Linked DNA regions of Callithrix jacchus. The protein of the gene in region 1 purifies or fractionates together with the protein of each later gene. This does not show direct contact. Links are inferred from orthologs where the notes say so. Each region holds a gene or a part of one and is shown on either strand. Other genes may lie near its edges. The genes, in order: FBXL17, ZBTB18 and KLHL9.

Region 1 (3,749 bases):
ACCTAAAGAAAGAACTCTTTCACCTTCCTGTTAGAAACATCCATCTTGCCTTCTTGATAGCCTTGGTCTCTCATAAGTTGCCAAGCAATATTTCCTATAACAAGTTTAACTCCCATTGTCAAAAAAAAAAAAAAAAAAAAAACCATACATCTATCTGTATCCATCCTTTATTCACCTCTCCTCATTCTCTGTAATCACAATCAAGAAAAGCATCCTTCCTAAGTACTCTTCATTCCACCTTCTCCCCTTATTTCTCTCATTAGAGTGGCTCATTCCCATCGGTATTTGCCTCCTCCAATTTTTCCCTCGTGAAAGTTAACCTCGATATTGTTAAACCTTCTAAAGGATTGCCGGCACAGCTATTTACTCTTTCTAACCGGGATCACCAAGGTTTGTCATACAGCAGGCACTGCACCTTCATCTTTAAAATACGTAATATATGACTAGACAGGATTCCGAGGGTGCAGATAATGAAGCTATCTACAGCTTGTAGCCTGGGTGTTGCATGGCTCACTGGATGAGGAAACTGCTTATCCTTCAGCTGTATATGGGTAATTTGATATATGCTTTCATTCTGAAATAAAGTTGTGGAAAGGAAGTAGTACGCAACAAGTACGAAAACAAGTGGGGAAACAGTGGTGCGGTACAACCAATTAACCCCTCACACGACTTGGGTGCGCATCACCCAGGAGCCGCGCATCTGCCACTCCGCTCGCCGAGCGGTCAGGGCTCGCACAGGCCCTTCCGGCGGAACCCGCCTAGTGGATTCGAAGAGGCCTCAGTTTCCGAGTCGGGAGTAGTGATGGGGGTGGAAGGTGAGGGGAAAAGCCAAGGGGCTCCCGGCCAATGGCAGCTCTTGAACTTACACCTCCGGACGTCAGCGCGGCTGTGTAAACGGATGTCACACAGCAGGCTCGGAAGTGTCTCCTCCCGCCTCAGAAACGTGGCGCACGCCCAGCAGGCTCGGAAAAAACCTTAGGCGGCGGGAGGGAGGGGCGTGCGCCGCACCTCGTGAGCCCAGAGTCCCGAGCCCTCGCCGGCCGGCCTCCTCCCCGCAGTGTCTCTGTGGCAGCCGTCCCGGTTGAGCAGCTGGGCGCCGGCGTCCTAGCCACAAGCGCGCCGCCGCAACTGGCTCCGCCCCTGCCGGAATGGGCCGCGCGCTCCTGCGGCTCTCAGCAGAGTCGCGGGCGCGCGCGCCGCCGGCAGAGCCGCAGTTAAAATGGTCCGAGCGGGTACCGGCGTTGCCCCCGCTGCCGCGCTGACTGACTGAGCCGGCTGACCGGGCCCGACTGGTCGCCTAGCCGGCAGGCTCGCTCGCTCCCTCCCTCCCTCGCGTCCCTAAAGCTCGCTCCCATCGTTCTCCCGGCTTCTCTGGGCAAAGCATGTAGCCCCCTTCGGGCACTCCGGCGGCCCGCGGCTAACGCCCACCCCCCTACCGTCGCGTGTGTGCCCGTGTGTGCGTGTGTGTGCGCAGAGCGGGCGACCCCGCTGCGGGCCGGAGGCCGAGCCAGCGAGCGGCCTGCCCCGCTGCCGGGAGCTCGCCTCTCTGGGCCTCCCTCCCTCCCGTCCTGGTGCCCCTCCTCGGGGCCTTCTATATGGGCCACCTTCTCTCGAAGGAGCCGCGTAACCGCCCGAGCCAGAAGAGGCCTCGCTGTTGCAGTTGGTGCCGCCGCCGGCGCCCTCTCCTCAGGCTGCCCCGCCGGACCCCAGCCAAGGTGCCCCCTCAGCCGGCGGCGCCCCGGAGCCGGGACTGCTTCTTCCGCGGGCCCTGCATGCTTTGCTTCATCGTGCACAGTCCCGGCGCGCCCGCCCCCGCCGGCCCAGAGGAGGAGCCGCCGTTCTCGCCGCCGCCGCCGCCGCGGGACGGGGCCTACGCTGCCGCCGCCTCCTCTTCTCAGCACCTGGCGCGGCGCTACGCGGCCCTGGCCGCCGAGGACTGCGCCGCAGCCGCCCGCCGCTTCCTGCTATCCTCGGCCGCCGCAGCCGCCGCCGCTGCTGCCTCGGCTTCGTCGCCCGCCTCTTGCTGCAAAGAGCTGGGGCTGGCTGCGGCCGCCGCCTGGGAGCAGCAGGGCCGAAGCCTTTTCCTGGCCAGCTTGGGGCCGGTGCGTTTCCTGGGGCCGCCCGCCGCTGTGCAGCTCTTCCGGGGGCCGCCGCCGCCGGCCGAGCCCCTTACGCCCCTCGAAATGGTGTGCAAGCGGAAGGGGGCCGGGGTCCCCGCCTGCACCCCCTGCAAGCAGCCCCGCTGTGGCGGCGGGGGTTGCGGCGGCGGTGGCGGCGGCGGCGGCGGTGGGGGAGGGCCTGCCGGGGGAGGCGCCTCGCCGCCCAGACCCCCCGACGCCGGCTGCTGCCAGGGTCCGGAGCAGCCCCAGCAGCCGCTCTGCCCCCCGCCCTCTTCTCCCACTTCCGAAGGTGCTCCCACCGAGGCTGGCGGGGACGTTGTCCGAGTCGGGGGCACCGCCCCCTCGTCCGCCCAGCAGCAGCGTGAATGTGGCGACGCGGACTGTCTGGAGCCCCCCGAAAACCCCTGCGACTGTCACAGGGAGCCGCCCCCCGAAACCCCAGACATCAACCAGCTGCCGCCGTCCATCCTGCTCAAGGTGGGTCTGGGCGAGAGGCGCAGGGATGCTCGTTTTCCCCCACCCCGGGCCCCCGCCTCCGAGGCTTTCTCTCTCCTCCCCCTAAGCGCGGAGGAGGGGGGGTTCCCTGACAGCCGAGGGACGTCCGAACCGGAGACTGGGAAGCCAGTGGGTCCTCTGCCTGTGGCCTATTTTTTGAAGTATAAGCACTTGGAGTCTACTGAATGTCTTCATAGCTTGACTCTATAACCCACCCTTCAGGGTTCAGCTATTATTAGAATCCCAACCCAGTGTTTTAGAAACTTCGCAGGCATTCTGTGGGGGGCGGGGGGGAGGGAATTTGTTTTTAATCAATTGAGGAATTTATAGTTAGTGGGTAAAGGCTTTGCATATCAGTGTTTGGAAGTGTTCAGACGTTACTTTCAGGTTTAATGGCTGGTAGTTAATGTCAAACAGTTAACTTTTATTGAGCATTTACCATAATCAGGCACTGCGCTAGAGCTTTATATATACAGTATCCCACTTATTTATCCAGTTAACGCTGCGAGATAAATATATTGTTAATATATTTATTTTATACAAGAAGAAACTGATTTCTCCGTGCCGTGGAGCAGGGTTTTTACAGTAGTGAGTCAGGAAGAAGTGGTCTTAGCGCCTATGGAGCTGACAGTCTAGTGGGGCTTGAACTGGTTGAATGACTTGTGCAAGGTCACATACAGAAAGTAAAGGGCAGATCCAGGTCTTGAACGAGGTAATTTAAGACTACTTGATTTAAAAATTCCTTTGTTTACTATGTGGTAATGCCCTCCTACATTTTAACCCTTACGTAAAAGCATACAGATTACCAGAGGTAGCACAGATGTATTTTTTTGTTGGGAGACCAGTGAGTAGAGGTAGGTGTCCTGGATGAAATTTGTGTCATTTTCAACTACCATATTTTGCAGTTTTGTCAATGCTAGTGACAACCTTAGTTATGTAATAGAGTTTTTATTAAGTTATTATTAACTTTTTTCCTCTTTTTCTGCCGTCTCTCACCCCACCCTTTCTGGGGCTTAATAAATATAAACTATTTTCATTGTGGATGATACTAGAGACTAGCCATAGATAACCTTGTTAAGAATTTGGCTACTTTTAATATTACTGAAGTAACTTTAATTACAATTGTTATTGTCA
Region 2 (3,749 bases), on another chromosome or scaffold:
CGCCTCAGGCCCCAGTTCCTTTTCTACCTCTCGCCCTCCCAGCAGTCTGAGGAAATGTATTTGACATTCAGAGATGTCACAGCACCCTGCCCGGCCCCTGGTCAGCCCAGCCCGGGTCGCGTTACAGGTTCATCAGCCGTTAGAAAAGACCCACAAACTTTGGCCAAAAAGTTCTCAAACTTACTAGACCCGGCTTCTCCCCACACAAAGATTTTCTTGTGATAGTAAATATGACACAAGGACCCCCCCCCCCCGCAAAGAAAAAAGATTGTTAAGGGACACAGATCAAGGGGAAGGCAAGGTTCTGCTTTTTCTGAGCAGAAAGATAAGATATGCAGCTGCAGCATTCATTTTAAGTGACTGTAGCAGGTTGTATCAGTTTATTAATTGGTCTCATTGAACTGAAGTACTTTCCAGGATTTTGGAAAGTGCAGTTTGAGCCCCTGGGTACTGAGAATTGAAATTTGCATTAACTGTGGCAGTGTAAGAAATTTTACCGAGAAGGTAGTTGTAGATAAGTAGTTAAATAAGAGGGAGTAATACGGTGAACCAGTATGAAGTGATAGTTCTGAACAGGTCCGCCAACATTTGAGACATGGATACCATTATCTCAGCAGAAAAAAGAAGTGCCGCAGTAATGTTGAAATGGGACTGGAGATGTCAAATGGGTTGGTTTAAAAATATCCCTAAGAAACTAAACGTTGGAGTTAAATAAAAGTGAATCTGGATTTCCTGAATAGCACCGTGGCTTGAGTGTGCTGTCAGTATGTAAGCCAGTCCACCAACTTAAGACAGAAGTGTTGCTATTCCATAAATACAGTAGAACTCCATATGCTGAGTTTTTCAATTTCTTCTGTTAGAAAGTTTGGAAAAAAAGGAAGACTTTGAAGTATTTTGTTTATACTAACAGAAGAGAAAAGTTCTCCTAAGAAAAAGCTGGTGGCAGGAGTGTAGAGGAGTAGCATATGGCATTAAAAGGAGCACAGCTGGAGGTAGCATTTCCATCTGAACATGATGTCAGAGCAGCTGACAGCCTGCCATCCCTCAGCCTTTTATTCTAACACACAGACAGGGAGTTAGTGTGTGCGGATCTGTGGTGGAGAAGGTATCTCATTCCTCTCTAACATCATCTCCACTTTGCATCTGTCTCTCTTAGTCTGCTTTTTTTCCACCGATGTAACAGACCTGGAGCCAGCAGGACTCAGAGGAAAGGACTTAATCAGGTTTATGTGTCCTAAAGGTAGGAGTAGCAAGAGATTAGATGGAGCATATTTCTGTTTTGGTGTTTTGTTTATTTAATTTAAAAAATCACATTACTTTTCTAACCCAGTTTAGGAATAATATATGAAATTGAGTATTAAATGAACATCTTACTGGAGTTGAGAGTCTTGAGTTTGTTGAGTTTTAATTTTTTATCCCTTTTACTTGAGCAAATAAATAACTTTAATACACAGAAATATTTCAAGTTTGGAAATGCTAAGAACGGCTTTGAAATATTGCTTTTAGAAATCACGTTGGATTAAAATGCTTTTTTGTTCACTGCTATTTAGATTTGATTGGGGTGGTGGTGGGGAAATAGTAAACTGTCTGGAATCCAGCATTCAAACTTATATGAGAAGATTATTCTAGTTAAGAAGCTAGATTGTTGTGTAATTAATTCCACTGTGAAACTTTATTCTTCAAAACATTCAGCAGCACTACTGAAACATACAGCTGTAGTGCTTTTGAAACTGAAGGTTTTTTAAGAAGAAGAAGAAGAAGAAAAAAAAAGACTTTTGTCCCTAGGAGAGTAGTTTGACTGGTTTCCTCATATCTCTTGTCAAATATATATTTAAGAGATCTTTTATTTCAGCATAACAATAATTATTTGCAGGAGTTTTTGTGTTAGCGACTAATTTAGAACTTGTAGATTTGAGCTGCCTGAATTGGCCAGACAGCTGTAATCGCACTCCTCTATTCTTAATCTCTTTATCTGGGCAGCAGCTGCCATATGGCCACAGTCAGCTGGATCAGATGTTTATAAGCTTCCTTCTTCGTCCCTCTCTGTCCTCTCAGCCTCCTAATTTGATCACGGCTACCTTGTGAGCTGCCCTCCAATCTTTATTTTTAGCCCTCTCAAGGATTAGGATTGATGTTAGCTGTGGGGCACTTAAAGTGATTGTATTGTAAATCTTAGTTTATTCTAGCAGTGGTATCTTGCAGAATGTGTTTGGGGTTAGGATAAACTTTCAGTCTATCTTGCGCAAAGTGTAGAAGAGGAGGAAGAAGGGAAGTAATTTCTGAATATTCAATTAAGTGTATCTATTCCCAAAATGCACTTGCTGAGATGGACGGTGCGGAGCCTTGCTTCTGGTCACAGGGAAGGGGAAGTCGGGTCCTCTTTATTTGTAGGAGTTTACCCACTGCTGATGAATTCTGACCCTTTGTACATCTTTGCCTTTCCGTTCCCTCCATTTCACTTTTCCTCGTCAGAAAAGGAGGGCAGTGATGAGTATTTGCAAGAATAGAAGCTAGTGGGAAAACACCAATATATCAAATTATATTGAAACAAAGTATTTTCTGTTGGCTGAGGTAAGGCAGAACCAGGGGAAAAATCTAGTTTCTCTTTTTCTAAAAAGGTTTAAAAAAAAAAAAAGTTGAACCTGTAAAGCTTTTGAGTTTTATTTAAGCATTGTATACCTTTATTTTTAAAAGTTTGAATTAATTTTAATATGAAACTCATTTTGCCTTGCAACGGATCAAAGTTTAGATGAGAATTTTCTGAGTTAAATGAAGCCCTTCTGGTTCCTAATATTCTAAAAGTACAGTTTCTACAAAGAAATACAACTTTTTTTCTCAGTTCGTTTTTCAAAATCTTTGGATTTGTTCATAGTAAAGATGATCTTTTCCATCTGTTGGTGCAGTTCCTTCTGATCTCGTACATGTGTGCTGTACCTGCAAATCTGAAGGCATTAACATCTGTTTTTATACACAGGGCTTTTGTTGTAACACTGACTTTAAAAGTAAGTTATTTGCTAATTTCTGGACTAATTATGCAATTTCTTTTTTTTCTTGATTCAGCCAAATTGTGTGTGTGTGTGTGTGTGTGTGTGTTTGTGTGTGTGTGTATTTAAACTGTGCTTTCTAAGTACAGTCAAGTAGCAAAAGTAATAAAAGAATAGGGATGGTTGGACAAGTTTTCTTGTGTCTTCCAGGATATGTCTGGGACATTTCTTTGTTTGTTATATGAGTTCTTTCCTTTGAAATTAAAGCTATTTTGTAGGGTTTGTAGGACATAATTTGATAAGTAGAGTTCATAGATTTCTTCTGAAAGATCTAAATTCTCATTCTTAGATGCTGTAGTTAAAGGAAGGCTTTTGAAACTTCACTGAAAGTTCAACAAGATGGAGATGTGTCAGAAACTGTTTGGCGGGGGTGAGGAAGTTCAGAAAGTGTCCATTTTCCTTCTCGCTTTGAGGTCTTGTGCGTGTGATTTGGTGGTGCTTGGGTCATAAGCCTGATTAAAATTCAGGGACATGTACCACGGCGGCCAAAGCAGAATTAATTTTTTTATATGGGGACTAGAGCACTGAAAAGTGGTTCCTGACAGGCTCTAATGAGAAATTCCTCTCTTCCCAGGTTATGAAGACAGTATGGAGTTTCCAGACCACAGTAGACATTTGCTGCAGTGTCTGAGCGAGCAGAGACACCAGGGTTTTCTTTGTGACTGCACTGTTCTGGTGGGAGATGCCCAGTTCCGAGCGCACCGA
Region 3 (3,749 bases), on another chromosome or scaffold:
GCAGCCATGTATCAGAAACAAAGAAAACATTCAAAACAGATGAAATGTCCATCAAAAGGGCACTGGTTAAATAATTTATGACAACTCAAAGGGCAACAATAGAATTATTTAAAAACATAGATAAGCCCTTTAAATACTAATTCAGGAAGATCTTGAAGTGAAAAAAGATGCAGAACAGTGTACATGGTGTGCTATTTTTTATATAAAAATGAGAGTGTAATAAAAATATGACTATGTTCTTACTTTGCATTTGCATAAAGAACTAGAAGGATTTAAAAGACATAAACTTCAAATTTGGAAAATGGAAGAAATTGTGCCAAAGTATACATTGATTTGTATGTCAGAATTTAAATTTACCACTAATTAAATAAATGCAAGTTAACAAAATACTCATAAAGGGAAAAGTCAGCAGAAGGGGTGATAATATTTTGGAAATATTGTCTTGGATCAGCATTTTACTAACTATCCGTAACAGGGCTAAAATTTTGCTACCAGATTCTATAAGTTCACTACAGATTCTATATAACAATGGAGGATAAGAAGGTACATATTCAGGAACAAACAATGGGCAAAGGAAACTATATTATGTATAGTTATAGGAAAATTATGTAGGCATTTTTTAAATTGTGGAAAACAAAGGCATTTCAAGCCAAAAATTTAGAATATACCATTTACATAATAGTCACAATCTAGCAAAGAGACAAATACTTTGTGCTTGAAATTACAACAAATTCGAAAATATGAACCAAAATTGTAACTGGGGTATTAAATAGTGTGCGATAATTATTGTTTTGTAAAAAACTAAGCATCCTCCCGTACTCTTCTACCAGGTTTTCTTTCAATTTATAAAAAAGCTGCATTTCACTGCTATTCAAAAAAACAGAAGCTAGGAAGTGTAAAGCTTTAAAAAATGCATTTGGGAAACGTAAGAGCTCAGATATGCGAAAACCTTACATCAAATATGCAGCATAACATATGTGCACACATTCTGTTCTATTTAGTCCCAAGTACAAGGCAACTCTAAGACGTCGGGCTGGAGTCAACTTCAGGGTGCCCCGCTTCCCCAACCTCGCAGTCCCCGGTTGCCGCGCTCCTCCTCCCCCTTCACCACCCCCACACATCCGCCCACTGACGAGCTCTGGAGGCTGCGCAGCCGCAGTAGCCGCAACGGCCGCTCCCACCCCGGGGGATCCTGGGACTAGGCTTTCCCGGAAGGAGCCGCTTGGGGACCGGGGCTAGGCCGGTGTTCCAGGCCCAAGCCCAGGTCCAGGTCTGTGTTCAGGCACTTGCTCAAAGACTGGCCGGTGGCCGCTGTGACACTCTAGGTACAGCGGAGGGCGCAGCAGGCAGCTCGCTGAGGAGCCTGGACTCGCCGCCGAGCGGGCCCTGGAGCCGCAGTACGTGGCTGCGCCTCCCCTTTGCCCGAAGCGGAACTGCTGAAGGAGCGGCAGCGCAGGCCAGACGAGGTAAACCGGGTCATTTATCCACCTACAGGTCATGAATTATCTGTCTAATAATCAGATTTGAGGTCCACAGCCCTTTGTGATCTTGCTACAGGGCGATTTTTAGTGGATGACTGACTGGCGTGGCCTGAGGGGTGCCGCAGTGACTGCTTTCCTTTGATAAGGAAACGAGCTCTCTGTTCTTTGTGGACACCTCGTTGACTGTAAAACATTCCGGTTATAACTTCTTTCTCCGGCCTGCATCTCTGTACAGGAGGAAAGCTTTCACATGAAAGTGTCCCTTGGTAACGGCGAAATGGGCGTCTCTGCCCATTTGCAGCCTTGTAAGGCAGGAACCACACGCTTTTTTACCAGCAATACTCACAGTTCGGTGGTACTGCAAGGCTTTGATCAGCTTAGAATAGAAGGATTGCTTTGTGATGTGACCCTCGTACCAGGTGATGGAGATGAAATCTTCCCTGTTCACAGAGCTATGATGGCGTCTGCTAGTGATTATTTCAAGGCTATGTTCACAGGTGGAATGAAAGAACAGGATTTGATGTGCATTAAACTTCATGGGGTGAACAAGGTTGGTCTGAAGAAAATCATTGATTTTATTTATACTGCAAAACTTTCTCTTAATATGGACAGTCTTCAGGACACACTTGAAGCTGCCAGCTTTTTACAAATACTACCTGTTTTGGACTTCTGTAAAGTATTTCTTATATCAGGAGTCTCTTTAGATAACTGTGTTGAGGTTGGACGAATTGCTAACACCTACAATCTTATAGAAGTGGATAAATATGTTAATAATTTCATCCTGAAGAACTTTCCTGCTTTACTGAGTACTGGAGAGTTTCTAAAACTCCCTTTTGAACGGCTTGCCTTTGTGCTTTCCAGTAACAGTCTTAAGCACTGTACCGAACTTGAACTCTTTAAGGCTGCCTGTCGCTGGCTAAGGTTGGAAGACCCTCGGATGGATTATGCTGCAAAATTAATGAAGAATATTCGATTTCCACTGATGACACCACAGGACCTCATCAATTACGTGCAGACGGTAGATTTCATGAGAACAGACAATACCTGTGTGAATCTGCTTTTGGAAGCTAGCAATTACCAAATGATGCCATATATGCAGCCAGTGATGCAGTCAGATAGAACTGCCATTCGATCGGACTCCACTCACTTGGTTACATTAGGAGGAGTTTTGAGGCAGCAGCTAGTTGTCAGTAAAGAATTACGGATGTATGATGAAAGGGCACAAGAATGGAGATCTTTAGCCCCGATGGATGCTCCCCGTTACCAGCATGGCATTGCTGTCATTGGAAACTTTCTTTATGTAGTTGGTGGTCAAAGTAATTACGATACAAAAGGAAAAACTGCTGTTGATACAGTTTTCAGGTTTGATCCTCGGTATAATAAATGGATGCAGGTTGCATCATTAAATGAAAAGCGCACATTCTTTCACTTGAGTGCCCTCAAAGGACATTTGTATGCAGTTGGTGGGCGCAGTGCAGCTGGTGAACTAGCCACAGTAGAATGTTACAACCCAAGAATGAATGAGTGGAGCTATGTTGCAAAAATGAGTGAACCCCACTATGGACATGCTGGAACAGTATATGGAGGCTTAATGTATATTTCAGGAGGAATTACCCATGACACTTTCCAAAATGAGCTCATGTGTTTTGACCCAGATACAGACAAATGGATGCAAAAGGCTCCAATGACTACAGTCAGAGGTCTGCATTGCATGTGTACAGTTGGAGACAAGCTCTATGTCATTGGTGGCAATCACTTCAGAGGAACAAGTGATTATGATGATGTTCTAAGCTGTGAATACTATTCACCAACCCTTGACCAGTGGACCCCAATTGCCGCCATGTTAAGAGGTCAAAGTGATGTTGGAGTTGCCGTCTTTGAAAATAAAATCTACGTTGTTGGTGGATATTCTTGGAATAATCGTTGTATGGTAGAAATTGTCCAGAAATATGACCCAGAAAAAGATGAGTGGCATAAAGTTTTTGATCTCCCAGAGTCACTTGGTGGCATTCGAGCTTGTACACTCACAGTTTTTCCACCCGAAGAAAACCCTGGGTCACCTTCTAGAGAATCACCTCTTTCAGCACCTTCAGATCATTCTTAGGTCTAAGGTGTAATACCTTTGCAGTACATCGTGGGTGATCTAATACTTCCCCTTCAGTTGTATCTTCTTACAGTGATTGGTACAGTTATTAGATATAAAGATAACTGATGTTATTTGTCTTGTTTGGCTTAGTGCGTTTATCAAATGGCTAACAAATGCATTCT

The links.
Region 2: the proteins of FBXL17 (region 1) and ZBTB18 purify together in Homo sapiens (co-immunoprecipitation; 3 studies listed by BioGRID and IntAct, with this or other methods). This does not show direct contact. The link is inferred for Callithrix jacchus from reciprocal best matches to the Homo sapiens genes FBXL17 and ZBTB18.
Region 3: the proteins of FBXL17 (region 1) and KLHL9 purify together in Homo sapiens (co-immunoprecipitation; 3 studies listed by BioGRID and IntAct, with this or other methods). This does not show direct contact. The link is inferred for Callithrix jacchus from reciprocal best matches to the Homo sapiens genes FBXL17 and KLHL9.

What each region holds. Positions count from the first base shown.
Region 1 is NC_133503.1:101,704,670-101,708,418, forward strand, and holds the start of FBXL17 (F-box/LRR-repeat protein 17), read left to right. Parts: upstream 1-1,177; 5' UTR 1,178-1,595; coding exon 1,596-2,597; intron 2,598-3,749. UniProt on the Homo sapiens protein: Substrate-recognition component of the SCF(FBXL17) E3 ubiquitin ligase complex, a key component of a quality control pathway required to ensure functional dimerization of BTB domain-containing proteins (dimerization quality control, DQC).
Region 2 is NC_133520.1:42,083,468-42,087,216, reverse strand, and holds the start of ZBTB18 (zinc finger and BTB domain-containing protein 18), read left to right. Parts: upstream 1-1,078; 5' UTR 1,079-1,227; coding exon 1,228-1,240; intron 1,241-2,179; exon of another isoform or gene 2,180-3,002; intron 3,003-3,618; coding exon 3,619-3,749.
Region 3 is NC_133502.1:128,320,268-128,324,016, reverse strand, and holds the start of KLHL9 (kelch-like protein 9), read left to right. Parts: upstream 1-1,184; 5' UTR 1,185-1,731; coding exon 1,732-3,585; 3' UTR 3,586-3,749.